Linked DNA regions of Anolis sagrei. The protein of the gene in region 4 purifies or fractionates together with the protein of the main gene of each other region. This does not show direct contact. Links are inferred from orthologs where the notes say so. Each region holds a gene or a part of one and is shown on either strand. Other genes may lie near its edges.

Region 1 (6,845 bases), on a different chromosome or scaffold from region 4:
CCAGCCACGTTTGACATCAATTGTTAGAATCTTATCTTCATTGCGTGTCGTTTTTCCATCTGGATTTAGCCGTTTGTGAGAAATTTTCATTTTCTTGGTGCATCCACTGTAAATTTCCTCCAAGGATACTCTCAGCTCGTGAGTGATGGGTGGATCTGGTTTCCTGCGAACATTTTCATGGCCCCCACGAGCACGGGAAAAGCCAATGTTGCCAAAGTTTTGAAAACCCGTGAAGGGGTCATCAATGTCCATATCTTCGTCACCATTCCTCTGAACAAAGAACGTATCAAAAGGATTCCGCCCACCAAAGAATTCTGCAAACATGGCATGAGGATCTCCATGAAAGGTGTAGGTGAATGAAGTGCCATTGGGACCACCTCCACTGCAGCTGGGACCACCTCCCTTTAGTCCTGCAATATAGGAAACACAATAAGCCTCAGCTTTCAGGTTACATTATCATTCAATATCAAAAAAGCCTAAGTATTATTTTTACTCATTTTACAGACATGTCAAACAACTGCATAAGGGTAATTAGAAATACTTCGAACAAATCTCACACCCAACAGCTAACTTCAGTACATTTGTGTGTTGTGTACCCTAGTGTCCAAATCATATAAAAAAACTACAATTCTCAGTTATTCACAAGATCTACTAAATCCATGCTCCTGGATACAAAGCTCAATTCAGAATGCATTTCACCTAATCTGTATACTTTAATAAGTATAAATCTTGCAGAAAAACAGTTCTACTAAGGAAAAGGTAGCACTGCAACAGATAAGCACAAGAACATGCTAGAATATTCTAGCAACGACTAGAAGACTTGTGTAACAAAAGCTCCACCTATCTCAGACAGCCTGTCATGCAGCCCAATAGATGCAGCCAAATTACTACAACACCCATTTAAAGGAAAATGCTCAGAATGTTCCATGAATGCCAGCTGTGCAATCGAAACAATACAGAAAAGCTATGGAAATTTACCACAATCTGTATAAATAAGTTGAGAGCTTCTCTTTTACGCACTAAACATTTCAACATTCTACGGAAGGGGTGGATGTTCTTCAGAACAAGAAAGTAAACATACAAAGCAAAAACAAATCCCTGAAGACACAAAGAGACTGATATGCAAAGCAGGACACTACAGAAATCCTACACAAGAGGGCTATAATTATTGCTAAATCTGGGTGATTTCAAAGTAGCCTTCCCTATCAGGAAGAGCCTGTAGATCAGTTGTTCTCAACCTTTGGTCTTCCAGATGTTTTCAACTAGAGCTCCCACTAAACCTAACAGCTGGTAAACTGGCTAGGAGTTCTGGGAGTTGAAGTCCAAAACTCCTGGGGGATGAAAATCTGAAACCCACTGCTTTAGATAATAGTGGATGTTGGAGGTTATAACTGGAACTATTTAAAGATGGCAACTCAACATTGGACTGCTTTCCAGAACCACAAAGTGAAATAACTCGTTCTTCAGCCCTTCTCGTCCACTTTCTACTTCAGGCATGGGCAAACTTCAGCCCTCCAGGATGTTTTAGACTTCAACTCGCCCAATTCCTAACAGTCTGCTTTTTCTACTTCATCCTTCATGAAAAAGCTTGGTTTGCTGTGAGTTTTCAGCATCGTCTTAACAGTTGCTCCAGAGGAAAAGGCGTCCAACTAGCTCTGGAAATTGGGGGTGATCATCAAGTAGACAGAAGGAGGCATCTCAAAATCGAGAAGGTCTTGCCTGGGCAGCGAGATCAGGGCAGAACAACTCAAACTGGCAACGTTTGTCAAAGGAACTTCAGCAAGAGGGGACACGGATTGCCTCCAATACCTGTGTGTGAATATTCTGCTTTCTACTCATCATTCCTCACTTTTAGCCAGTGTTAGTAAGATAAAGATTTCCCTTGACATTAAGTCTAGCCATGTCCAACTCTGGGGGGGTGGGGGGGGGGTGGGGTGGTGCTCATCTCCATTTCTAAACCAAATAGCCTGCGTTGTCCATAGATGCCTCCAAGGTTATGTGGCCGGCATGACTGCATGGAGTGCCATTACCTTCCTGCAGAAGTGGTACCTATTGATCTACCCACATCTTGCATGTTTTCAAATAGCTCGGTTGGCAGAAGCTGGGGTTAACAGCGGGGGCTCACCCCTCTCCCTGGATTCAAACCGCCAACCTTTCGGTGAGCAAGTTAGCAGCTCAGCAGTTTAATCTGCTGCAGCACCAGGGGGGCCTTTAGCCAGTTATTAGTTTTGATTAAAACCTTACAGGAAGTAATACCCAGAGATGTGCTGAAAAGAGACCCTTCCCCTCTCTCTCTCCTCTGCTCTTGGTGCCACAACGCAAACTCCCTGTGTACTTTCTCGTGAATGGCAGGGGAATCAACAACCTGAGCCAGCCATAGATGTGGATGAAACGTCAGGGACATGGCTATACAGCCCGGAAAACTCACAGCAAACCAAGCTGAAGCTGGTTTTCTAGGCTACACTCCAGGCTACATCTACACTGTGGAATGAATGCGGCTGGAGCCCACTTTAACGATATGGATCCCTGGCAGCTGCTGACAAGGCCCCTGGCTGCCAAAGAGCGCTGGTCCCTCAACAAACTACGCTTTCTGAAGAATCGAGCCGTGGCGAATAATGTGACGCCAAGGCGCATGCGCAGGTCCCTCCTGCCCCCCCCCCCCGGCCACCCCGCGGCCCCCGCGCACCTTCCTCGCCGAACTTGTCGAAGATTTCGCGCTTCTTGGGGTCGCTGAGCACGTCGTAGGCCTCGGCGATCTCCTTGAAGCGCTCCTCGGAGCCGGGGTCCTTGTTCTTGTCCGGGTGGTAGCGCAGCGCCTGCTTCCGGTAGGCCTTCTTAATGTCGTCGTCGCTGGCCCCGCGGGACAGGCCCAGGGTGCGGTAGTAGTCCTTGCCCATGGCTCGCCCTCACCGCCTCGGGTTCTAATGCCGGGCCGGGCGCGTCCCCTCCGGTTTTATACTGCGGGCGGAGGAATCTTCCAGAGCTTGCCACAACAATCTCCGCCTCGGCCCCGCCCATCCCTTCTGCCCTAGCCAATCGCCATCGAGCACTCTGTTCTCTCCGCCAATGGGGATCGACTGCGGGATGGGCAAAGCTTGGAAGTTAACGGCTGAGGGCGCCCACCTTGGGACTGAACGGCGGGGGGAGGGGGGGCATTCTTCGTTGGGCCGCCAACGGTCCTCGCGCTCGGGGTTCTTGAGATGCGCGCGCAGACAGTGGACGGGCCAGGAGTGGCGCGTGCCAAAAGAAACGTGTGGCCTTTGGGAATGAGAGCCGCCTCTTCCGTTAGAAACAGCTCTGGGTGCATCTGCATTGTGGAATGAATGCGGTTTGGCACCATGGTTTAGTGCTGTGGAATCATGGGACTTGTAGTTTGGAGAGTCACCAGCGCTCTCAAAGAAGAAAGAAGGCGTTGTAAAGCTATAATTCCTTTGACGGAATCATTGCAGTTAAAGTGGTGTCAAATCGCATCTATTCTACAGTGTAGATCAGTGGTTCTCAACCTGTGGGTCCCTAGATGTTTTGGCCCCCAACTCCCAGAAATCCTAACAGCTGGTAAACTGGCTGGGATTTCTGGGAGTTGTAGGCCAAAACACCTGGGGACCCACAGGTTGAGAACCACTGGTGTAGATGCATCTACCTGAACATGAGAAAAAATTGTTCAGCAGTAGAACTCTGTCCTGAGTGTGGTGGAGGCTCCTGTGGAGGCTTTTAAACAGAGGCTGGATGGCCACCTGTTGAGGGTGCTTTGGTTGTGCTCTTCCTGCATGGCAGGGGTTGGACTAGATGGCCCATGTGGTCTCTTCCAGCTCTGTGTTGTTTAAGACTTTCATGACATGGAATCACTGGGTTGCTGTGAGTTTTCTGGGCTGTAAGGCCATGTTCCAGAAGCATTATCTCCTGACGTTTCACCCACATCTATGGCATGCATCCTCAGAGGTTGAGGGGTCTGTTGGAAACTAGACAAGTGAGCTTTTTAGGTGATAGTATGATAGCTGGGCCCGGAAGCTCAGCATTACGGAGATGCTGCAAAGGCAGTTGTGAATAAGGGAAGAGGAGGCGGAGAGAGAGCGGGGAGAGCGAAGGAAGGATAGAAAGGACGGCATGCTTAGGGTTAGGGCAAGGTTTTGGGTTAGGGTTACTGTTGGGGGTTATGGTTAGAGTACAGTTTAGGGTAAGGTTTGGGTAGGGGTTAGGCTTAGGCTTACGCATACGGATCAGGGTTAGGGTAAGGGTTAGAGTTTCACCATTAAAGAACTCTTACATTCCTTCTAGAGTATCTGTCTCAGGCCTGGCTTACATTAGCTAAGTCTCTCTTGTGCAAACAGCGCTCCCAAAGGAGCGATGCGGCATCTCCGTAACACTCAGAGTTTCCAGACCCAGCTATCATACTATTACCGGTTTTTATATCTGTGGGATAATGTCCATGGTGGGAGAAAGAACTTTTGTCTGCTTGAGGCAAGTGTGAATGTTGCAACTGGCCACCTTGATTAGCATTGAATGGCCTTGCAATTCTGTTCTTCAATGATTCTATGCATTGTTTTTTAACAGAGGAGGGGGTTCTTATCCCCAAGACCACCTGTTGCTCTGACAGGTGCCACCTCCATTTTTTAATTGCTACCTGCCCCATGTTTATTTGGAAATATATCTAACATTTCTTCTTACGTACCTTTTCTTCACAATTAAGAAGTACCAAATTTTGTAACCATTTGGATTGCTCATGTTTGGATCATCTACTTGATGACTGTGGCCCAGTCTGTGTAGATGTGTTTTGAGTGTGTATATATTTGTTTATATGCGTACATATGTATGTTTGTGTATATATATGTGTGTGGTTTTGCACATGCGGTGTAATACATTTCTTGTTTTTTGGCATTTTAAGTCAAAAACTCTCACCCCCTGGGTGCTGTTTTTCAGTGTTTTATGAGTGATGGTCACTTGTTGGCCTGATACGTGTATTGTATCCAAATTTGGTGTCCATTTGTCCAGTGCTTTTTGAGTTATGTTAATCCCACAAATAAACATTACATTTCTATTTATATAGACTAACTGTCCCGCGTTGCTGTGGCCCAGTCTCTGTATATGTGCTTTGTGTGTGTATATGTGCATGTATGTGTGTATATATTTATGTATATGTGTATATACTTGTGGATGTTTTTTTTATTTGTTGGCTTTTTAAGTCCCTTCCACTGTGTTTTTATGAGTGAAAGTCACTTGTTGGCCTGATAGGTGTATTGTGTCCAAATTTGGTGTCAATTTGTCCACTGGTTTTTGAGTTATGTTAATCCCACAAACAAAAATTACATTTTTATTTATATAGACTAGAAGTCCCCTGCCACGCATTGCTGTGGCTCAGTTTGTGTATATGTGTTTTATGTGTGTGTATGTGTGTGTATATGTGGTTTTGCGCATGCGCTTTAATTTTTTTTGGCTTTTTAAGTCTTTTCTGCTGTGTTTCTCAGTGTTTTTTATGAGTGATGGTCACTCTTGTATTGTGTCCAAATTTGGTGTCCATTTGTCCAGTGGCTTTTGAGTTATGTCAATCCCACAAACGAACATTTTAATTTATATATAGATTGTACCATACTGTATTATATATTGAGGTTCCATGACCAAAAATGTGCACATTATTCCAAAATGCCACACCAAAAATGGTGTAAAGGAAGTATGGTTCTCTTCCCAATTATGCCCAGACCCAACATAGGTTTCACCGTGTTAGCAAACTCGGTCACTGTACTTGTAGACGACATTGAATTAATGATTCAGGACGGTGAAATCCCAGGAGGACAACAAAGAGCACCCAGTGCTTCCGTAATGGGACTTTACGCAGGAATTTCCACTCTTTGTTCACCTCCTTGGCACTGCTTCTCTATGGTGTTTAATTTGACCCCTGGGTGGGGCTGGTATGGTGGAGGGAGGTTGCCTTCCAGTTTGCAGTCCAGCCCTTGGCTCTTCTCCCAGGCAGCAGATAAAAAGTGGCAAAAGTCACTTCAATGCTGGCTTGTTTACAGCTTCTAGGTGTTAAGAAACACTCATTCCTGATTGATACCATTGTTCAAGGTGTCCACAATCTGAGGTCCCGTCTGTACTGATCATTTAATGATTTCCTATGTAATCATCTGCACAGTGAAAACACTTTCTTCAATACCAGTTTGAGACGGCATAAGATGAGATCTAAGAGAGATCCTTCCCAGAAGTCAAGGGAGAAAGATCAAATCATTACCACAGAGGACTCACTGAAATCTAAACAGATAGCATCAAACAATAATTGCAATGTTTTCCCCTGTTTCCGTCTTTCTTCCAACGCCCGAATATCTAACTAGCACAGTATTTATAAATGGAGTCCTCCCATTGCCTTTTGAAAGGGAAGTAGTTTTGAGATGTGTGCAGTCTGTAGCAGATTGATAAGCCTTAACCCACGTTTCTATACAGCTAGCCCTCCGTATCCATAGATTCTTTACTATGGATTCAATCACCCACGAATTAAAAATATTTAAAAAGAATCCTCCCAACAAACTTTGATTATACAATTTTATATAACTACACTATATATAGCTGTGTTGTACATCAGCTGCCAGAGGCTGGTGGGTTAACCGATGATTTAGAACTTTTAAACAGAGGCTGGATGGCCATCTGTCAGGGGTGATTTAAATGCAATATTCCTGCTTCTTGGCAGGGGGTTAGACTGGATGGCCCATGAGGTTTCTTCCATCTCTGTGATTCTGTGCAGGGCCTCAAGGACATTCAGGGGAATAAAAAGGTGCGACATTAGATAACGAATCGAGTGAAGAGCTGAGTGATAAAGAGGCTTTCCAGGGGAATCCACCTGTAGCTACGGAGATCAA
Region 2 (7,113 bases), about 59 Mb from region 4:
CCCGGCTACGTCCAGAGAGAAAAGCCTGGCAACCTGTGAGGGGCGACTCCAGAGATGGCACCCTGCTCCCCAGCCTTCTGCAAAACACCTCTGGGAGCCTCAATGGGGCCCTTTCCCCAAGAAGGAGGCTGGGGCCTGGGGGGGGGGGAGGGGGAAAGCCTCCCTCGGCTCCTGAGTCATCATCCATGTTATGTTTCCAGCCTCTGAAGTACAAACCACACTCCAGCACCAGGAAGTGGTGCTGAAATGGCGACCCCAGCTCCCTTTCCTGCACTGAGAGGGAGGGACCCACTTCTTTCCATTCAAACGTTACTTTGGACCCATATATTTTATGTGTATGCCCTAGCGCAGGCATGGGCCAACTTGGGCCCTCCCTCCAAGTGTTTTGGACTGCAACTCCCCCCCATTCCTAATAGCCTCAGGTCCTTTCCTTTCCCCTCTCAGCCACTTAAGCGGAGGAAAAGGAAAGGGGCTGAGGCTGTTAGGAATGGGGGGAGTTGCAGTCCAAAACACTTGGAGGGAGGGCCCAAGTTGGCCCATGCCTGCCCTAGCATGTGCTTTGAAGAAATGCAACGTGTTCGATACGTAATGGTGCATTTCAACGTCCTTGTGCCATAAGGAGAAGCAGATAATACTATGAAGAAAAATGGCTGGGAAGGAAAAGGAGGGGAGCAGTTGGCAGAAAGAAAGGGAGACCCCTCCCCTCGTTCTCTGTTGAGCAGAAAATGCAGAACCAGGGTGGCCATTTCAGCACTACTTCCTGGTGCCTGCTGGAAACGTAACATGGATGACTCAGGGAGGAAGGAAAGAAGAAAGGAAGGAGAGGGAGGGAAGGAAGGAAGGAAGGAAGGAAAGGGGGAAAGAAAGCTAATAAACGAAGGAAGGGGAGGGAGGGAGGGAAGAAAGAAGAGAAGGGAGAGAGAGGGAGAGGAGGAAAAAAAGGGAAGGGAGAGAGAAAGAGGGAAAGGAGAAGAAGGGAAGGAAGAGAAGGAAGAAAGGAAAAGGAGGGAGAGAGGGAAAGGAAGGAAGGAAAGGAAGGGAAGGAAAAGAGGGAGTGGGGAAGAAGGAAGGGGAGGGAGGGAAGGAAGAAAATGGAGGGAAGGGGGAGAGAGAGAAGGAAAAGAGGAAAAGAAGGAAGGCAGGGAGGGAGGGGGAAGAAAAGGAGGAAAAGAAGGAAAGAAAGGAGAAGAAGGGAAGAAAGAGAAGGAAGAAAGGAAAAGGAGGGAGAGAGGGAAAGGAAGAAAGAGAAGGAAGGAATGATGGAAGGAAAGGGAAAGAAGGAATGAACGTGAGGGAGGGGGTGGGAAGAAAGGAAGGGGGAGGGAGGGGGAGAGAGGGGGGGTGCCGAGACCGCTTGGGCCACCTCAGCACCCCTTCCTTCCTCTTGGCCCGTCTTCCTGGCCACTCACCGGAGGCCTTGGCGCCGTTGCCCTCGTAGCCCAGCAGCCGCCCTCCTGCTCCTCCTCCTGCTGCTGCTCCTGGTGGCGCTGCTCCGGCGGCGGCGGCGGCGAGGCCGGGCTCCTTCTTGAACTTGCCCTCGTAGGGGACGGCGTGTCCGCCGTGCTGCAGGGCCAGGAGCGTGTCCCGCACGGTCTTGGGCTTCCCCAGCCACTCCTGCTCGGAGCCCCCGCCGCGGCCTTTGCCCTCCAGCGCCTCCAGGCCCTCGACGGAGCCCCGCTGCGAGGCAGGGCCCTTGTCCTTGTCGGCGTCGCCTCCCGAGGAAGACGAGGAGGAGGAGGAAGAGGAAGAGACGGAGCCGGGCCTCTTGTGCGGAGGCGCGCCTTCTCCCGCCGCCACGGAGACCTGCAGCGGCGGCCCGGTGATGGCGGCCAAGGAGGCGGCGGCGCGGCTGCTGAGCCCGGGGAGCGCGGCGCCGTTCATGAGCGGCACCAGGGTGGGCGCCACGGCGTGCGTGGTCCTCCGCGGGTTGGGGCTTTGGCGGTTCAGCTCGGGCGGCTCCTCGGGCTTGGGGAAGCCGTTGGGCACCAGGATGCCGTTGACTTGCCGCCCGCCGTACTCGGGGCCCAGGCGCGGTGGGGCCCGCTCTGAGGCGGCGGCGGCCAGGGCGTAGCGCTCGTGCGGCGGAGGCCCCCCGCGGGAGGCGGCCTCAGCGGCGGCGGCAGCGGCGGCAGCCACGGCGGCGGAGTGCATCTCCTTGGCGCTGAGCGGGGGCGGCGGCGGAGGGGGCGGCGGGGCCTTGGCGTGGGGGCCTTGCTGGGGGCCCGCTCCCCCGCCGCCGCCCCCTCCCCCGCGCGCCTCCTGGAAGCTGTGGGCCCGCTTGAGCTGCCGCGCCGTGTCGATGACGAACTCCACCCGGTCGGCGCCCTCGTAGTTGACGCAGCCGCGGCAGACGGGCTCCGTGAAGTCCCAGATCATGGCCCAGGGCATGCGGGGAAGGTCGCAGAGGTAGCACGACTGGCGGCGGGAGGCGGCCGAGACCGCCACCGCCGCGGAAGACATGGCCGCGGGACCCGGGGGCGGCAGCAGCAGCAGCACAGCCAGCGGCAGCGAGCACGGGCCTCGCCTTCCTTCTCCTCCTCCTCCTCCTCTCCCTGCAACAGCAGCCTCCTCTGCTCCCGCCGGAAAAGCAGCCGCGCCGTCGCTCCTTGGCAAAAACGCCTTTCCTCCGCTACCGCATCGCCCGGGCCTCGCGCTCTTCCTTCGCGGCTCGTGCTCTCCTTTCGTGGCTCGCGCTTGCTTGCTCGCTCACTCTCTCTCTCTCTCTCTACTACCACCGCGCTGCCCAGACGCTCCTTCTCTCTCTCTCTCTCTCTCTCTTTCTCGCGCTGCTGGGGCGGGGACTCCACGAGCCGCCGCCGCTGAGTGCGTTCTCGCTGCTCCAGTGACTCGATTCTTCGACAGTGCCCAGGAGCGCATGCGTACTAGGCTCTCCCCCTCGCCGTTTCCCTCCCTCCTCCTTCCCTCCCTCTCCCTCTCTTCCTCCTCCTGCTGCTCATTGAACTTCTGCCAAGACAACAAGGGCTGCGAGAATAACCAGCTCTCTCTCCGAGTCAGCACCGGGGAAAGGGAGGGAGGGAAGGAGGAAAGGGAGGGAGGGACGGGAAAGGGCTCTCGCGTGTGAATGGAGGCCAAGGTGGGGGGAAAATTTCCTCGCCCTCAATGCGGATGCCAGGATTGGGGAGATTCCTTTTTGCATGTCCCTCTTTTTGCCATTTTGTATGTATCTGTATTTATTTTCGGGCGATTCCTTGGGAGGGAAAAGGGCTCTCGCGTGTGAATGGAGGCCAAGGTGTGTGTGTGTGTGTGGGGGGGGGGGGGGGTTCCTCGCCCTCAATGCGAGTGCCATGGATGGGGAAATTCCTTTTTGCATGTCTTTTTTTTGCCATTTTGCATGTATCTGTGTGGTCTGGTTGCCCCTGACAAGATAAATAAATGTATCTGTGTGGTATTGGGATACTTCAATTGCATGTGTGTGTATGTGGCTTCACGTCAGGTTTTGGGATTCTTCAATGGCCGCCCTTTGAAAAAAAACAACAGCAATCTAGGTGACCATTCGACTTCCTGATTTTAATTCAGATTTCAGCATGCATTTTTCACGTTCGCACCTTCAGAAACAATGGTTTGACGGCTTCTCCATTGATAATACAAAGGCATGGAATATATATACAAGGAATAGAAATACTGTACTACAAGGATTATAAATATTGTAAATGGAATATAACACAAGGAATATAAATACTGTAAATGAATAAATAAAGGCATGGAATATAATACAAGGCATAAAAATACAAGGGATATAAATACGGTAATACAAGGAATATCAATACTGTAAATAAATAAAGGCATGGAATATAATACAAGGAACATAAATACAAGGAATATCAATACTGAAAATAATGAATAAATAAAGGCATAGAATATAATAAGGAATATCAATACAAGAAATATAAATACAATAAATAAATAAATAAATAAATAAAGGCATGGGATACAAGGAATATCAATGCAAGGAATATAAATACTGTAATACAAGGAATTACAAAAGGAAGATAAATGCTTTTGAACTGTGGTGCTGAAGGAAAGTTCTGAGAGTGCCTTGGACTGCGAGAAGATCCAACCAGTCCATACTTCAGGAAATAAAGCCCGACTGCTCATTGCAGGGAAGGATATTAGAGGCCAAGATGAGGTATTTTGGCCACATCATGAGAAGACAGGAAAGCTTAGAGAGGACTGATGCTGGGGAAAATGGAAGGAAAAAGGAAGAGGGCCGACCAAGGGCAAGATGGATGGATGGTATCCTTGAAGTGACTGACTTAACCTTGAAGGAGCTGGGGGTGGTGACGGCCGACAGGGAGCTCTGGCATGGGCTGGTCCATGAGGTCACGAAGAGTTGGAAATGACTGTACGAATGAACAACAATGCAAGGAATATCAATATTGTAAATAAATGAATAAATAAAGGTATGGAATATAATACAAGGAATATCAATAGCGTAATACAAGGAATATCAATACTGTAATTAAAGACATAGAATGTAATACAAGGGATATCAATACTGTAAATAAATAAATAAAGACATGGGATATAATATAGAAATAGTATACAGAAATATAATAGAAATACTGTATTACAAAAAATAGAAATACTGTAAATGAATAGGCAAACTTACGCCCTCCCACCAGGCTTTTTGGACTACAACTCCCACCATTCCTAACAGCCTCGGGCCCTTTCCATTTTCCCTTCAGACGCTTAAGCCTGAGGCTGTTGGGAATGGTGGGAGTTGCAGTCCAAAACACCTCGTGGGAGGGCCCAGGATTGCCCGTGCCTACTCTAGAGAAACCCCATTAAAAGTAAGTGCAACTCATAAACATGGTGTTTCTGGTGCAGAGCCTAACCCCAGGCGGCCCTTTCCCCCTCTTTCCCACCCTCCCCACCAGGCCCGCAGCCAGGATTTCGTTTCGGGGGAGGGGGGGCTGATTTTTTTCGGGGGGGGGGTTGGGGAGGGCTGAGTTTCGGGGGGGGGGCTGAGTCTGAGTGAAAGAGGGTCTAGCCTAGCAAACCTTTTGTATCATTACCGCAATACCCCCGTGCATATGGGATATATTGAGTATGGTGATCAGATCATGATATGAATAAACATAACAGTTTGAATAATGCACCAGTAAGGCCTTTTCGCGAACCACGCTTTCGCCCACGCTTTCGCCCCCTTTCCCGTTCACACGAGACGCGTGAACCAGCGGCGATCCCGCTTCACTGCCTGCGTGCGCCCTGGGGATTGTGCTGCGTAAACACAAGAGCCAGCCGCTCCCCGAAAACTGCCGCCTAGGTCACCATTCCCACAGTACTACTATTATTATTATTGCGGCGGCGGCGGCTGCTGAGTTATGTAGGTTACAAAGGGAGGGAGGGAAAAAAGGAGGCGAGTTTCTGACGTTTGCATTTTGGTCCAAGGGCTCCTCCGGCCTGCGCATGCGCAGTCGGGGACGTGACTCTATGCCATTGGCACTCGAAGCCTTGTTAAGCGAAATGCACATTCCAGGGACGAGAGAGAGAGACAGGGGGGGGGAGAGAGAGAGAGCGAGCTGCGGCCAGCGCCGTCACAGCCTTCAAGCCCCGCCCCTTTGCTGCTATTTCTGGGCGCGCGGCGCTCCCTCCCTCGCAGGCTTAACTTTTACTTAAGATAGCATGGGCAGTTTTTGCAGGCTACGGCGGCCGAGTCGGGTCAAACAACTGCAACAAACAAACAAAGCGCTTTAGCGTGTCCTCCCGCGTGCTTGGCGTTGGCAATGATTCCGCGCCGCGCCTTCTTTGCAACCAGGCCTCAGGAAAGACGGTTTTGGCATGTGGCGGATTTACCTTTCCCAATTTTTTAAAAACAATACAAAACACTGTGTTGGCAGAGGCAGCCGCCCAGAAACCGATTTGCCTCTGCTGCAACTCCTTTGCAGTCCTGACTTGATTAGCATTGGGTTGTTGTGTGTGTTTCCGGGCTGTATGGCCATGCTCCAGCAGCATTCTCTCCTGACGTTTCGCCTGCATCTATGGCAGGCATCCTCAGAGGTTGTGAGGTCTCGCAACCGCTCAGCGTGCCTACCATAGATGCAGGCGAAACGTCAGGAGAGAATGCTTCTTGAGCATGGCCATACAGCCTGGAAAACACACAAAACAACCCCTCACAACCTCTGAAGATGCCTGCCCTAGATGCAGATGAAACGTCAGGAAAGAATGCTTCTGGAACACAGAAAGCACACAACAACCTACCACAACCTCAGAGGATGCCTGCCGTAGATGCAGGTGAAAAGTCAGGAGAGAATGCTTCTTGTACATGGCCATACAGCCCGGAAAAACACAAAACAATCTATCACAACCTCTGAGGATGCCTGTCATAGGTGCATGCAAAATGTCAGGAGAGAATGCTTCTGTAACATGGGCATTCAGCCCAGAAAACACACAACAAGCCCTCATAACCTCTCAGGATGCCTGCCATAGATGCAGGTGAAACGTTAGGAGAGAATGCTTCTGGAACATGGCCCTACAGCCCAGAAAACACTCAACAACCTCTCAGGATGCCTACCATAGATGCAGGCGAAATGTCAGGAGAGAATGCTCCTGGGACATGGCCATACAGCCTGGAAAACACACAACAATACATCTCTTTAAAGTAGCCTTTGTAGTCCTGGCTTGATTAGCATTTCCAAAAGCAAAAGCACAGGTTAGGGTTGGCTGTGGACTCATTGCACGGGAGCCTGAACGACACGCTTTACATTCTCACGTTCCTAAGCAACGGTTGATGGTTTTAAAGAGCCATCTTAACACTGTAGAATAAATACAACTTGACACCCACTTATTTCATCCTGGGGAAAAGAAATTAATAAAAGGTAAAGGGTGAGAAAAATGTACTGAATGTGTGTGTATGTAAAGCACTCCCCCTTTGAACTGGATGGAACTGGTTGTGAGCTGGAAGAGCAGAGTGCAGATGCTTATCTTTGCCTCTGGATGGGCAAAGAGGGAGGGAAAGAGAGAAAGGAATCTTGCTGACGTTTCTGCCTCGTTGCTATTCCAAACGCAGTCATTGTTGTTTGAACAGCCTTTCCTAATGAAGCGGAAAGGAAAGAGGGAGGGAGAAAGGCAAGAGAGAGAAAGAGAGAACAC
Region 3 (7,914 bases), on a different chromosome or scaffold from region 4:
TCTCCATTAAACATTACAATGATAACAGGAGATCTTTTGGTATGACTTCAATACCAAAAGTTTTCCAGGATCCAACAATATTTTTCTCACAAGAGAGAGACAAGATACCACTACCAGAACATATCTAAGGCTTTTTAAGAAAGGCTTTTGGGACATCAATATTGACAAAGGTATAGCCATGGTACACTATTGCAAGAGAAAAACAAAGTATCTTATGATAATTTAAAAACCAATTAAGTTATCATAGTACAGCTGTTCCTGGATATTATCCGATGGACTTTATTACAACATCTAAATGCATTCCTTTGGCTGTTCAGTGCCAACTGTTTCATAGCACCCTTCAAAAGCAAGAAGGGTTGTCAGAGTAAAACCGGCAAAGCTAGATATGTTTAAGTTGGAGAAGAGAAGGTCGAGAGGAGACTTGATAGCCATGTTTAAATATTTTAAAGGATGTCACAGCTTGTTTTCTGCTGCTCTGGAGACCAGGCCACAATAGAAGAAAGGATTCAAATTGCAGGAAAAGAGATTCCACTTAAACATTAGGAAGAACTTTCTGACAGTAAGAGATGTTAGGCAGTAGAGTATATTTCCTTAGGGCCCAATGAAGTATCCTTCTCTGGAGGTGTTTATACTGAGGCTGGAAGGTTATCTATTGGGGGAGCTTTGACTGTGGGTTCCTGCATGTCAGAATGGGCTTGGATTAGATGGCCCTTGGGGTCTCTTCCAACTTCTATACCAGGGGTCCTCAAACATTTTAAACAGAGGGCCAGGTCACAGTCCCTTCAACTGTTGGAGGGCCTGATTGTAATAAAAAATGAATGAATTTCTATGCACACTACACATATATTATTTGTAGTTCAAAAAACACTTAAAAACAATACAATAATTAAAATGAAGAACAATTTTAACAAATATAAACTTATTAGTATTTCAATGGGAAGTGTGGGCCTGCTTCTGGCTGATGAAATAGGATTGTTGTTGTTGTTGTTGTTGTTGTTGTGTGTTTTCTAGTCGTTTCAGACTTAGGTTGACCCTGAGCGAGGGTCGGGTAAATTACCTTGGAGGGCTGTATCCGGCACCCGGGCCTTAGTTTGAGGACCCCTGTTCTATACACTCTTGCCCCCTTAATAGCTGTGTAAAAGAAGAAATCTCAACAGGTGTTGTCTTTCATCAAGTAATTTCCAATTTATGGTAGCCAGGGGACCAAACATCTGGGGACCAACAGGGTGAGAACCTTTGCCCTATACGGTTCTGGCCCAGCTTACTTGTCCAAACGCATCTCCCTCTACGTCCTGTCTCGTTGTTTAAGATCATCCAGGGAGGCCCTGCTCTCACTCACAAATAAGTCATAAAGTTTTCTATGACTGAGTGTGTGTGTGACTTGCCCAATGTAGGTTTCCACAGCCAAGAAAGGACTCAAACCCTGGTCTCCAGTCATAGTCTTGCATGACAGCTGAAATTCCCTCTGTTGCACTTCTATTAATTGTATCGTCCAAAAGTCTTGGGGCCAGAAATGTTTGGGATAGACAGTGTGTGTATATGTGTGTACACACACACACACACACAGCGTGTGTGTATATTGGAATACCTGTATTTGCATATATGTACATAATGAGATCTCTTGGAGAAGAGATCCAAGTCTATGCACGGAATTCACTTATGTTTCATATATTAAAAAATCTAAATTATTATAGTTTCTATATTTAGAACCATCAGAAAGCAAAGCCACCCATATGGACCATTTGTTCTTCTAAATTTCAGACATGACGTGCTATGGCCCAATTTTCCTAGTTTTCAGCAGACCTCACAACCTCTGAGAATGCCTGTTATAGATGCAGGTGAAATGTCAGGAGAGAATGCTTTTAGAACATGACCATATAGCCCAAAAGATCTACAACAACTCATTATTATTATTTGAAGTATTTTTATTTTTATGCATGGCCGCATTTCTGTGTACAAACCCACACGATCTCTTCAAACATCTGGAGAGGCCCTGATCTCGCTCCTGCCTGCCTCGCAGGCACGGTTGGTGGGGATGAGGGAGAGGGCCTTCTCGGTGGTGGCCCCCTGACTCTGGAACTCACTTCCCAGGGATATCAGGCATGCCCCAACATTGGGAGTCTTTAGGAGGAACCTGAAAACGTGGCTGTTCCAGTGTGCCTTCCCGGAATAAGGAAATTAATTCCCAGCAAAATGCCCCCCTTAACTATTTGTTGGATTGCACTCCCCCCACTTCTTTAAAACCCTCCTACCAGATATATCCTACCTTGTTCCTACCCAGCATTTATTTTTAATTTTAAACTATTACATTTGGCCCGGCCATAGGTTTTTAAATCTTGTGTGTTATTGTTTATATGTGATTTATAACAATTGTATTGTTTTTGTTTATTGCTTTCTTGTTTTATTGATGTGTTGTTGGGCTTGGCCTCATATAAGCCGCTCCGAGTCCCTTGGGGAGATGGTGGCGGGGTATAAATAAAGTATTATTATTATTTTTAGTGTTTATACGTGTTTTAATTATTGTGTAACCCGTCACGAGGAGAGGCGGGAAAGAAATAAAATTATATACTGCATTGAAGGGTCATTCATTGAAGCTTATGCTGCATCTAGACTAGAATGAATTAATGTAGTTTCATAACACTTTCAACTGCTAGAGAATCATTGGAGTTACAGTTTGGGGAGGCTCCAGAAATTCTTGTGGCAGAGAAGGCCAAAGAGCTTGTGAAATGACACCAGGACAGTATTAAGTCATGGCAATTGAAGTGGTGTCCAACTGCATGAGTTCTACAGTGTTCCCACTCCTTCGTTGGCCAATGCCTGCGGTGCTTCGGTACCTGTTTGGGCTCCTCTGGCTCTCCTTTCAACGGCGACGGAGAAGCCCCGGCGCCCGCCTCGCCCCCCGCTTCCCTGGAGTCCCCCATTCGCTCGCCGCTCGCCTCAGGCTCAGCTGCCGGAAGTCCGCTCCCTTCTCCACGTTCGGCCTCCTAGAAACATCCGGAAAGAGCTCGGATATAGAAAAAAAGTCTAAGCCCCGCCCCCTCCTTGCCCTCGCTGCGTTTCGTTGGCTCTTTGCAATGCTTCTCACAAGCTCTCGCCGAGGAGGAGCAACACTCGCGAGATCTCTGTCAAAGCGCTTGTATACAAACCTAGAAGAGGGTCTGGGAAAGTGTAGTGGGTGGAACCTTTGATCTCCCAGCTAATTTGGACTTCAATTCCCAGGATTCCTAGTCATTGGAGAAGGCAGCTGAGGCTTCTGGGAGTTGGAGTCCAGAATTGTAGAAGACGCGTTTGGGAATCACTGCCATAAGTAATCAGAGCCCGGACAACGCTGATAGAAGGAATAGGGGTCTTTTGTTAGTTTAGAATCAAAGAATCATAGAATCAAAGAGTTGGAAGAGACCTCATGGGCCATCCAGTCCAACCCCCTGCCAAGAAGCAGGAATATTGCATTCAAAGCACCCCTGACAGATGGCCATCCAGCCTCTGCTTAAAAGCTTCCAGAGAAGGAGCCTCCACCACACTCCGGGGCAGAGAGTTCCACTGCTGAACGGCTCTCACAGTCATAGAATCAGTGTTGGAAGAGACCTCATGGGCCATCCAGTCCAACCCCCTGTCAAGAAGCAGAAAAAATGCATTCAAAGCACCCCTGACAGATGGCCATCCAGCCTCTGTTTAAAAGCTTCCAGAGAAGGAGCCTCCACCACACTCCGGGGCAGAGAGTTCCACTGCTGAACGGCTCTCACAGTCATAGAATCATAGAATCAAAGAGTTGGAAGAGACCTCATGGGCCATCCAGTCCAACCCCCTGCCAAGAAGCAGGAATATTGCATTCAAATCACCCCTGACAGATGGCCATCCAGCCCCTGTTTAAAAGCTTCCAAAGAAGGAGCCTCCACCACACTCCGGGGCAGAGAGTTCCACTGCTGAACGGCTCTCACAGTCAGGAAGTTCTTCCTCATGTTCAGATGGAATCTCCTCTCTTGTAGTTTGAAGCCATTGTTCCGCGTCCTAGTCTCCAGGGAAGCAGAAAACAAGCTTGCTCCCTCCTCCCTATGGCTTCCTCTCACATATTTATACATGGCTATCATATCTCCTCTCAGCCTTCTCTTCTTCAGGCTAAACATGCCCAGCTCCTTAAGCCGCTCCTCATAGGGCTTGTTCTCCAGACCCTTGATCATTTTAGTCGCCCTCCTCTGGACACATTCCAGCTTGTCAATATCTCTCTTGAATTGTGGTGCCCAGAACTGGACACAATATTCCAGGTGTGGTCTAACCAAAGCAGAATAGAGGGGTAGCATTACTTCCCTAGATGTAGACACTATGCTCCTATTGATGCAGGCCAAAATCCCATTGGCTTTTTTGCCGCCACATCACATTGTTGGCTCATGTTTAACTTGTAGTCCACGAGGACTCCCAAGATCTTTTTCACACGTACTGCTCTCAAGCCAGGCATTGTCCCCCATTCTATATCTTTGCATTTCGTTTTTCCTGCCAAAGTTTAGTATCTTGCATTTGTCACTGTTGAACTTCATTTTGTTAGTTTTGGCCCATCTCACTAATCTGCCTTCCACACCGCTGAATAAAATCCTACATTATCTTCTTTGAACTAGAATAGATGGCAGTGTGGACTCAGATAACCCAGTTCAAAGCAGATATTCTAGTTATTTGGCTGTGTGGGATCTCTGGACAGTGTGGAAGGGGCCTCTTTTCATTAGAGCTGGTGTTTCGGGCTCCTACATTGCCCTACGAAGCCTAGATTATCTGCTTTAAAACTGGATTATAATCTGGGTTTCATTGGTCAATGTAGATTATCTGTTTTGATAATCTGGATTATAGGGCAGTGTAGAAGGAGCCTCAGGTAGGATCTACACTGCCATATAATCCAGATTATCAAATAAGACAATCCACATTTGCTTTGAACTGGATTTTACGAGTCTATACTGCCATATAAAATCCAGATTGGGAAAGGTGTTCGGCAGGGTTGTATCCTCTCACCCAATTTATTCAACTTGTATGCAGAAGACATCATGCGATATGCGGGACTTGACGAATGCAAGGCTGGAGTAAAAATTGCTGGAAGAAAAATTAACCTTAGATATGCAGATGACACCACTTTGATGGCTGAAAGCGAGGAGGAGCTGAGGAGCCTTCTAATCAGGGTGAAAGAAGAAAGCGCAAAAGCTGGGTTGCAGCTGAATATAAAAAAACCCAAGATTATGGCAACAAGAATAATTGATAACTGGGAAATAGAGGGAGAAAACGTGTAGGCCGTGACAGACATTGTATTTCTAGGTGCAAAGATTACTGCAGATGCAGACTGCAGCCAGGAAATCAGGAGACGTTTACTTCTTGGGAGGAGAGCCATGACCAATCTCGATAAAATAGTGGAGAGTGGAGACATCACACTGGCAACGAAGATCCGCATAATTAAAGCAATGGTATTCCCCATAGTCACCTATGGATGTGAGAGCCGAACCCTAGGGAAGGCTGAGCGAAGGAAGATAGATGCTTTTGAATTGTGGTGTTGGAGGAAAGTTCTGAGATTGCCTTGAACCGCGAGAAGATCCAACCAGTCCATACTTCAGGAAATAAAGTCCGACTGCTCATTGGAGGAAAGGATAGTAGAGGCAAAGATGAAGCACTTTGGCCACATCATGAGAAGAAAGGAAAGCTCAGAGAAGACAATTATGCTGGGGAAAATGGAAGGAAAAAGGAAGAGGAGCCGACCAAGGGCAAGATGGATGGATGGCATCCTTGAAGTGACTGGATTGACCTTGAAGGAGCTCTGGGTGGTGACGGCCGACAGGGAGCTCTGGCGTGGACTGGTGCATGAGGTCACGAAGAGTCGGAAACGACTGAACGAATGAACAACAAAAAAAAAGCCTTATAATCCAATTCAAAGCAGATAATCTGGGTTTTATATGGCAGTGTAGAAGGGGCCTTAGGGCCCTTCCAGACAGACCCTATACCACAGGATCTGATCCCAGGTTTTCTGTTTATCGCAGATTATCTGGCAGTGCGGACTGATATAATCCAGTTTAAAGCAGAAAACCTGGGATTGCATCCTGGATTATAGGGCCTTTCTGAAAGGGCCCTTAGATTTCCCAGATTAGAATAATTTGACACCTCAAAATATCTGGATCTTACTGAGAGGACCTGATCAGTTGAGGTGCTCAGCCTCTGGGGATTGGCTCCCCACAGCGATCCCTGTTCTTTGGGTTCCAGGATGGCACCTCCCCTCCCAGCCCCTTTTTGACTCCTAAACTTACTTTAGGGGCTTCGTAGCATGCTCAGGCCCCTCCATCCAGAGCTCTTGGCATGTCAAAATGATGTGTCGGAAGATTGGAGGGCTTATTGAAAAACTAGCAAAATGTGCTGCAGAACTACACTGCCATATAATACTATGTAACAAAATTTGATTTTTTTTCTGTTCCTGGTTTGGAAGTCTTATTTCCTGCTGAATTGAAAGTAGTTCAACTCCAGAAACTTCGTTTTTGTGGCTGCTACAAACTTTGTTCAATTGGTTGATATGCTTTGAGCTATTCATTGAAAAACTATAGCAAAATGTGCTGCAGGATGTCCCGCATAAACAAAGTTTTTGTGGCTTATTACATTTTTTCAAATTTTTTAATGATAGATTGTGTTACATACATTTTATGTCTGTGTCCATATTTCTTATAAAGCGGATGGGTTATGCTATAATAAGGCTGAATTACTGTGTCACAAAATGATGCATGTCTAAGAAGTGTGTCACCAACATGAAATGTTTGGAAAGCTCTAGGATCAGATCCTGCCGGACATCCAATGGGAGAGACTAATCCAAAGGTTCTGGAATGCTGTCCTGAAGATGCAGGGAAAGGAGGTACTGTTGACCTTGGCAACCAGGTCTTCCTCAGCCTTGTCCAGAGACCAGTGGCAAAAGAGCCCTCTGTTTTCTCCATGTCACTGGTGGAGTTGAGCTCCATGTAACAAGAAACTATGCCCAAAGGGAAGCGGGCCAACCCCAGCACATCTCGGGATGGCATCTGGGTAAGGAGGCACTCTCTGAGTAGTTATAGTGTCTCAGTTAGTTCCTGGCAAATATGGGAGAGTGTAACACAGTGGTTCTCAACCTGGGGTCCCCAGATATATTTGGCCTTCAACTCCCAGAAATCCTAAGACCTGGTAAACTGGCTGGGATTTCTGGGAGTTATAGGCCAAAAATATCTGGGGACCCCAGGTTGAGAACCACTGGTATAATGCTAACCTGAAATAATGATCTGTGATAGAGAAAAGGATAGCATTGGCTTGCCATGTGTCCCTTAGTTTTCTAACGCTCCTTGTTTCACAACACTGCCACTCCCCCCCCCCCCCCACACACACATTTATTGTTTTGGCCAGGCATTCTCAAACCGCAGCCCTCCAGCTGTTTTGGCCCCCAACTCCCAGAAGCCCTATCCAGCTTGTACAGTGTTCAGATATTCTGAGAGTTGGAGGCCGAAACAGCTGGAGGATGTCTAATTATTTAAAATTGGGGGGCTTCCACACAGCCCTATATCCAAGAATATCAAGGCAGAAAATCCCACATTATCTGAGTGTAGATTCAGATAACCCGGTTCGAAGCAGATAATGTGGGATTTTCTACCTTGATATTCTGGGATATAGGGCTGTGTGGAAGGGCCCTGGGTCGGTCCTTCAGTATTATTCTATGCTGGATGACATAGTCCCCTTCTACACTGCCATATAATCCAGATTATCAAAGCAGATAAACCACATTATCTGCTTTGTACTGAATTATATGAGTCTACACTGCCATACAAGCCAGTTCAAAGCAGATAATCTGGATTTTATATAGCAGTGTAGAAAGGGGCCATCGAGATTTCTAGAGAGAACAGTTCTTTAGGAATCTCAAGATCCTCCAATGGATTTCTATGG
Region 4 (7,129 bases):
TCCAGATGATTTGGTGCTCAGTCCAGATGGTAAATCAGTACCCGGGCTGTAGCCCTTCAAGTCCCAAATGGAACAGGCCAACCACAGCATTTCAATTGCTACACCTTTTCCATTCCTTTCATGTCTGGGAAAATACAGAGGTAGTAATTTATGGGACAGGTTTGGCTACTTCGAATACGAAACTCTCTCCTTATAGCATATCTATTACTAATGGCAAAGCGAGCATAGCTTCCCAATTAGAGCAAAATTAGTACTGAGGGTGCTTTTATTGTGTTCATGTTCCTCGTTTACTATATAAAAAACTAGCTGGGAGGGTTGCTGGGAGTTGCAGTCCAGGAATAGGAAATTGGAAATATGCAGGGATTGGGATGCTCTCAAAGAAATCCAAGGAGAAGAAAGCTTGCATCCTGGAAGCAGTGCATTTGGATCATCCTCCTCTCCTAAAGGGCCTGGTCTAGGGGATGCTGGGAGCTGTAGTCCGAAAGAGAGTGTGGATATGCTTTTGTGTGTTTTGTTTACCAGGAGAGTAATTTTTGTGCATGCGTTGTAGAGTCTTTTTGGTTTTTTGGATTTTAAGTCCCTTCCGCTGTGTTTTTCAGTGTTTTTAGGAGTGGTGGTCACTCAATGGCCTGATAGGTGTATTGTGTCCAAATTTGATGTCAACTCATCCAGTGGTTTTTGAGCTATGTTAATCTCAGAAACATTACATTTTTTTTAATATGGTTACTAGCCGTTCCCTGCCAGACATTGCTCTGGCCCGGTCTGGTGATCCGGAAAATAAAGTAACGAGAAAGCGTTGGTTTCTAATCTGTCATTTCTTTATGCTTGTAGGTAAACAGTATTTCTTGTTGTTTCTTTGTCAGTGTTGGAGATTGCCTGGTTTGCCTCCTCTGGAACATGCAACATAGAATTGTCCTTGTTTAGGGTCCCTTTCCAATCTATGATACTATAGTAGTGTGTGTGTGTGTGTGTGAATCATATATATCTATCTACATCTATGGCTGGATGGCTCTTTGTCAGGAGGGCTTTGATTACGTTTTCTTGCCCTCGTGAAGGGAGTTGGACTGGATGGCCTTGAGTATTTGAGTATTTTCTGTTGGTCATGGGGGTTCTGTGTGGGAAGTTTGGCCCAATTCTGTCATTTGGTGGGGTTCAGATTGCTATTTGATTGTAGGTGAACTATAAATCCCAGCAACTACAATTCCCAAATGTAAAGGTCTATTTCCCCCAAACTCCATGTGTTCATATTTGGGCATATGAAATATTTGTGCTAAATTTGGTCTGGATCATTGTGTGAATCCACAGTGCTCTCTGGATGAAGGTGAACTACAACTCCCAAACTTAAGATCAATGCCCATAAATGCCCATGTTGGTCATGGGAGTCCTGTGTGCCACATTTGTTTGAATTCCATCATTGGTGGGGTTCAGAATGCCCTTTGATTGTAGGTTAACTATAAATCCCATCAAATACAACTCCTAAATGACAAAATCATTTTTTTAGTGATGGTCACTTCTTGGGTTAGAAGGTGTCTTGTGGCCAAATTTGACAGCAATTCATCCAGTGGACTTTGAGTTATGTTAATCTCACAAACAAACATTACATTTTTATTTATATAGAGTAGCTGTCCCCTGCCATGCGTTGCTGTGGCCCAATCTGGTGATCTGGAAAATAAAGTAATGAGAAAGTGTTGGTTTCTAATATAGGTAATTTCTTTCTGCTTGTGGGTAAACAGTATTTCTTGCTGTTTCTTTGTCAGTCTTGATGTAGAGATTGTCAGGTTTGCCTACTCTGAAACAGGCAACATATCATTGTCCTTCTTTAGAGGTCCCTTTCAAATCTAGGATACTATATCTGTCATATACATATGTGTGTGTGTGTGAATCATATCTATATATCTATATGACTGGATGGCTTTTTGTCAGGAAGGCTTAGATTGTGTTTTCTTGCACTGGTGAAGGGAGTTGGACTGGATGGCAGCATTTCTCAACCTGTGGGTCGGGACCCTGGGGGGGGGGGGGGTCATGAGGGGTTATCAGAAGGGTCACCCAGTGATTTCGGCCATAAAGGCCTTCAACAATACAATACAATACAATACAATACAATACAATACAATACAATACAATACAATACATACATACATATATATATATATTGTGTGTGTGTGTGTGTGTGTGTGTGTGTGTGTATAGTAAGCTGCTCTGAGTCCCCTTTGGGGTGAGAAGGGCGGCATATAAATGTCGTAAATAATAATAATAATAATAATAATAATAATAATAATAATAATGAAGACAGACTGTGGGGCAGACTGGTTCTGTGTTTATGCTGGGCCAAATAGGCCCACAACCTGCAACAAAAAAGGCACAGGAGATAAAGTAGATAAAGGAAAGGGCCTGAGGCTGTTAGGAATGGTGGGAGTTGAAGTCCAAAACCCCTGGAGGGAGGGCCCAAGTTTGCTCGTGCCTGATCTACCCTGTAGCCTGAATGCACCTTGGCACCACTTTGACCTGCCCTGTTTCAATGCTATGGAATCATAGGAATTGTAGTCTTAAAAAAACAAGCCTTCAGCCTCCTCTGCCAAAGGGTGCAAGTGCGTCTCCAAACTACAACTTCCAAGACCCCAGTACAAAGCGGTGTCATTGAAGTTGTGTGTTTTGGAGAGGCAGGAGAGGAGAACTCTGGGGATGGCCTGCAGCGCGGCTTCCCTTCGCCTAGTCCACGGTGCACGCGCCTCTTGCTTGCCCGCCCGCCCGCTCACCCGCGCGCTCCCTCCTTCCCCTTGGGCTGGTGCCTGACCTGAGCTCGAGCTGGTCGAGGCTCTCCAGGAGGCGGCTGGAGCGGTCGGCCATGGAAGTGGAGCGGAAGAAGCGGCCCCGGCGAGGCGGCGGCACTCCCCCTTCCCCGGGCTCCGAAGCGAGGAGGCTTTTGGAGGCGCTGCTCTTGGCCTGGGCCATCGCCGCTCCGCCTCAGCTTCTCCCTCTGCCTGCGCCGCCCGAGGCTCCTCCCTCCCGAACAAGGAGGACAGGCAGCAGGGCCGCCCAGGGCACGCCTGCCCGCCCTTCTCCAGTCTCCAGTCCAGGCTGCTCTCCAGTCCAGCTGTTTTGGACTTCAACTCCCACAATGTTGGACACCACCAAAGCCTTCCAGGCAGATGGCCACAGCCATAGTTAGGACAGACATTTTATATATATATATATATATACACACCCACACACACAATCGATATCATAGATTTGGAAGAGACTACAAGGACCATCCAGCCCAACCCACTTCTGCCATGCAAGAAGACACCATCAAAGCCTTCCAGGCAGATGGCCAGACAGCCATTGTTATGACAGATATTATATACAGTATATAGAAAGAGAGAGGGGAGGAGAGAATGTGTGCGTGCGTATATATATATATATATATATATATATATATATATATATATATATAGTGTGTGTGTGTGTGTGTGTGTGTATACACACACACGTACACACAATAGATATAATAGATTTGGAAGAGACCACAAGGACCATCCAATCCAACCCTCTTCTGCCATGCAAGAAGACACCATCAGAGCCTTCCAGACAGATGACCAGCCAGCCATAGTTGTGACAGGCTACACACACACACACACACATATATATACACACACACAAGCAATAGATATAGATCTGTAAGAGACCGCAAAGACCATCCAGTCCAACCCTCTTCTGCCACACAAGAAGACACCATCAGAGCCTTCCAAACAGATGACCAGCCAGCCATAATTGTGACAGGCTATACACACACGTATACACACACACACAATAGATATCATAAATCTGTAAGAGAGCACAAGGCCCCTCCAGTCCAACCCTCTTCTGCCACACAAGAAGACACCCTCAAAGCCTTCCAGTCAGATGGCCAGGCCATCATAGATATGATAGACGTCATTCAATACATGCACACACACACAATTTAGAATCCTAGAGTTGGAAGGAACCCCAAGGGGCCATCCAGTCCAACCCTCTTCTGCCCTGCAAGAAGACACCACCAAAGACTTCCAGGCAGATGGCCAGCTAGCCTAGATATGACAGACATTTAAAATATTTTTTTACACATATACACACAATAGATGTCACAGATCTGGAAGAGATCATAAGGACCACTCAGTCCAACCCACTTCTGCCATGCAAGAAGACACCATCAAGACCTTTCAGACAGATGGCCAGCCAGTCATAGTTATAACAGGTGCTCTCTCTCTCTCTCTCTCTCTCTCTCTCTCTCTCTATATATATACACACACACACACATACATACATACATACAAACAGTAGAGATCATAGATCTGTAAGAGACAACAAGGACCATCCAGTCCAACCCACTTCTGCCATGCAAAAGTGGGTGTCCAAAGCCTTCCAGGTGGATAGCCAGACAATCATAGATATGATAGACATCATTCAATAAACACACACACGTACACAGTTTAGAATCCTAGAGCTGGAAGGGACCCAAGGGGCCATCCAGTCTAACCCTCTTCTGCCTGCAAGAAGACACTACAAAAGCCTTCCAGATAGATGGCTATACAGTCATAGATATGATAGACCTCATTCAAAACACACCTACATAAACAGATGCACTCACACAGCTTAGAATCCTAGAGTTGGAATATCAACTTTTTTCCTCCACTCATAAAAGCTGTCCTGATGCTCTCCCAAAAGTGAAAGGTTTTGCCTGCTCTAACAAGTCCTTTCTTCCTCTTAAGTTTCTATTAGGACCCAGCAGCCCTGCAGTCTCTTGAGCGCATGCCAAGGGCTGGCACAAACTTTCCTTTCTTTAACTGCACTGCAGTGATTTGGTTTCTCAACCTTCTTTTCAAAGAAGAGGACAGGGTTTTTTACAAAAGTATTTCTTACCAATTTAGATTTTTTCCTAGAAAATGTTATTTTAAAAAAACACAACTGAAGTTAATTTTCAAAAATACAGCAACACTACATTAAGGACAGCAAGAGAGTGTGAGAGTGTAGACCAGTGTTTCTCAACCTTCCTAATGGTAGACCCCTTAGTACAGTTCCTCATGTTGTGGTGACCCCCAACCATAACATTATTTTCGCTGCGACTTCATAACTGTAATTTTGCTAGTATTATGAATTGTAATGTAAAATCTGATATACAGGATGTATTTTCATTCACTGGACCAAATTTGGCACAAACAATTTGAATACTGGTGGGGTTGGGGGGAAGATTGATTTTTGTCATTTGGGAGTTGTAGTTGCTGGGATTTATAGTTCACCTACAATCAAAGAGCATTCTGAACTCCACCAACGATGGAATTGAAGCTAACTTGGCACACAGAACTCCCATAGACAACAGAAAATACTGGGAGGGTTTGGTGGACATTGACTTTGAGTTTGTGAGTTGTAGTTCACCTACATCCAGAGAGCACTGTGGACTCAAACAGTGATTAATCTGGACCAAACTTGGCACGGATACTCAATAGGCCGAAATGTTAATGGTGGGGCTTGGGGAAAATAGACCTCAACATTTGTGAGACCTCACAACCTCTGAGGATGCCTGCTATAGATGCAGGCAAAACGTCAGGAGAGAATGCATCTAGAACATGGTCATATAGCCCAAAAAACCGACAACCCAGCCTGGCTCTTTCTTGAGCCCCGATGGAACCCCCAGTGGTGCAGCAGGTTAAACCGCTGAGCTACTGAACTTGCTGACCAAAAGGTCAGCGGTTCAGATCCAAGGAGCAGCATGAGCTCCCGCTGTTAGCCCCAGCTTCTGCCGCTCCATGTAATCATGCTGGCCACATAACCTTGGAGGTGTTTACAGACAACGCCTGCTCTTCGGCTTAGAAATGGAGATGCGTGCCACCCCCAGAGTTGGACACAACTAGACTTAATGTCAAGGGGAAACATTTATCTTTTTTCATGAGTCAGATTTTGATGGAGGGAGAAATTGGTTCAATTGGTGGCTGGGAGATTTCCAAAAATCAGACTGCAATCGTAACTTAGGCTATAATTGCTAGTTTAAGTTCCTGAAAGTTGTGGCACATCAAACAGTACTGTAAAGTCATTTTGTTAGGGGCCTTAACAGCAACTGGAAGTCTTTTTATAAATAGGTACTTGAAGATGACAGAAGACTTTCCTTTTATGAAAGGAAGTATGTTGTGGCTTCAGAGTTCAATAATGTTAACCATAATTGGAAGGACTAGAAGACTGTGCGTCAAGATGGTATTCACTCACTCATGGGTTTCGTTACATAGCTTTAAAAGGTTTGATGCTTTCTAGCTCAACCCCTTTTCTCCATAGCCCTGAAAGCACGAGTACAGAAACTCATGGTCCGCCAGACACTATAAAAGTGCATGTTGTAAAGACATTGACCATGCCGCATGGAGTTGATATAGAGCCGTGCTGTACCTTTTCTATGGGGAGTTTTTCTCCCCTTCAGAAAAAACAAAGGTGCTATTTTCACATGGCTTGCTATTCAGAGCGTAGGTGTTAACAGAATACTTTCTGGACAGGATCATCTTACAGGGCTTATTTGTGGGCAGGTTGACCGGCACTCACTCCCTCGGGGAAGATTCGCACAGCTATATCCGCATGGCTAAAAGCAAAAACATGTGGATATTGTTACAGCAGAATGTGTCAATGGACGAAGGATGGTCCCTGGTGGGAAGAGGGTGGTAATAGCAACATTCAGATTGCATGCTGTGGGTAGACTTTGGGAATTAAAAGTTAATGAAGTGAAAAAAGGAGCACTTTAGCAGAGAATGTTAATACACGTGTCTAGTTTGAATTAGAATTTTATTCCAGTTGGATTAGTAATAGAATACAGCACTTAGATCTTGAAGGGTATTGATTAGGTGATTGAGACTGTATGAAAAAGATGGGAATGCTACTCACCAACACCCTTCTGAAATGTGATAGTCACCCCAAAGATGGACAATATTTGTTGGTCTCCTTATAGCAAGGGAATGAGACATGTAGGGAACTGCTCGAAGTATTTAAGGTCTTTCCTAAGGATAGCTTACATTTCCCCCTAGACCAGGGGTCCTCAAACTAAGGCCTGGGGGCCGGATATGGCCCTCCAAGGTCATTTACCCGGCCCTCACTCAGGGTCAACCTAAGTCTGAAATGACTTGAAAGCACACAA

The links.
Region 1: the proteins of BAG2 (region 4) and DNAJB1 purify together in Homo sapiens (affinity purification with mass spectrometry; 4 studies listed by BioGRID and IntAct, with this or other methods). This does not show direct contact. The link is inferred for Anolis sagrei from reciprocal best matches to the Homo sapiens genes BAG2 and DNAJB1.
Region 2: the proteins of BAG2 (region 4) and IRF2BP2 purify together in Homo sapiens (affinity purification with mass spectrometry; 3 studies listed by BioGRID and IntAct, with this or other methods). This does not show direct contact. The link is inferred for Anolis sagrei from reciprocal best matches to the Homo sapiens genes BAG2 and IRF2BP2.
Region 3: the proteins of BAG2 (region 4) and EDRF1 purify together in Homo sapiens (affinity purification with mass spectrometry; 3 studies listed by BioGRID and IntAct, with this or other methods). This does not show direct contact. The link is inferred for Anolis sagrei from reciprocal best matches to the Homo sapiens genes BAG2 and EDRF1.

The regions. Positions count from the first base shown.
Region 1 is NC_090022.1:128,013,711-128,020,555, reverse strand, and holds the start of DNAJB1 (dnaJ homolog subfamily B member 1), read right to left. Parts: upstream 3,008-6,845; 5' UTR 2,898-3,007; coding exon 2,687-2,897; intron 411-2,686; coding exon 1-410. UniProt on the Homo sapiens protein: Interacts with HSP70 and can stimulate its ATPase activity. Stimulates the association between HSC70 and HIP. Negatively regulates heat shock-induced HSF1 transcriptional activity during the attenuation and recovery phase period of the heat shock response.
Region 2 is NC_090021.1:59,346,685-59,353,797, reverse strand, and holds the start of IRF2BP2 (interferon regulatory factor 2-binding protein 2), read right to left. Parts: upstream 3,018-7,113; 5' UTR 2,461-3,017; coding exon 1,410-2,460; intron 1-1,409. UniProt on the Homo sapiens protein: Acts as a transcriptional corepressor in a IRF2-dependent manner; this repression is not mediated by histone deacetylase activities. Represses the NFAT1-dependent transactivation of NFAT-responsive promoters.
Region 3 is NC_090023.1:196,759,899-196,767,812, forward strand, and holds the start of EDRF1 (erythroid differentiation-related factor 1), read right to left. Parts: upstream 3,002-7,914; 5' UTR 2,922-3,001; coding exon 2,835-2,921; intron 1-2,834. Other genes in the region: TEX36 (testis-expressed protein 36), read left to right, coding at 6,979-7,029. UniProt on the Homo sapiens protein: Transcription factor involved in erythroid differentiation. Involved in transcriptional activation of the globin gene.
Region 4 is NC_090021.1:118,661,746-118,668,874, forward strand, and holds the start of BAG2 (BAG family molecular chaperone regulator 2), read right to left. Parts: upstream 3,002-7,129; 5' UTR 2,953-3,001; coding exon 2,795-2,952; intron 1-2,794. UniProt on the Homo sapiens protein: Co-chaperone for HSP70 and HSC70 chaperone proteins. Acts as a nucleotide-exchange factor (NEF) promoting the release of ADP from the HSP70 and HSC70 proteins thereby triggering client/substrate protein release.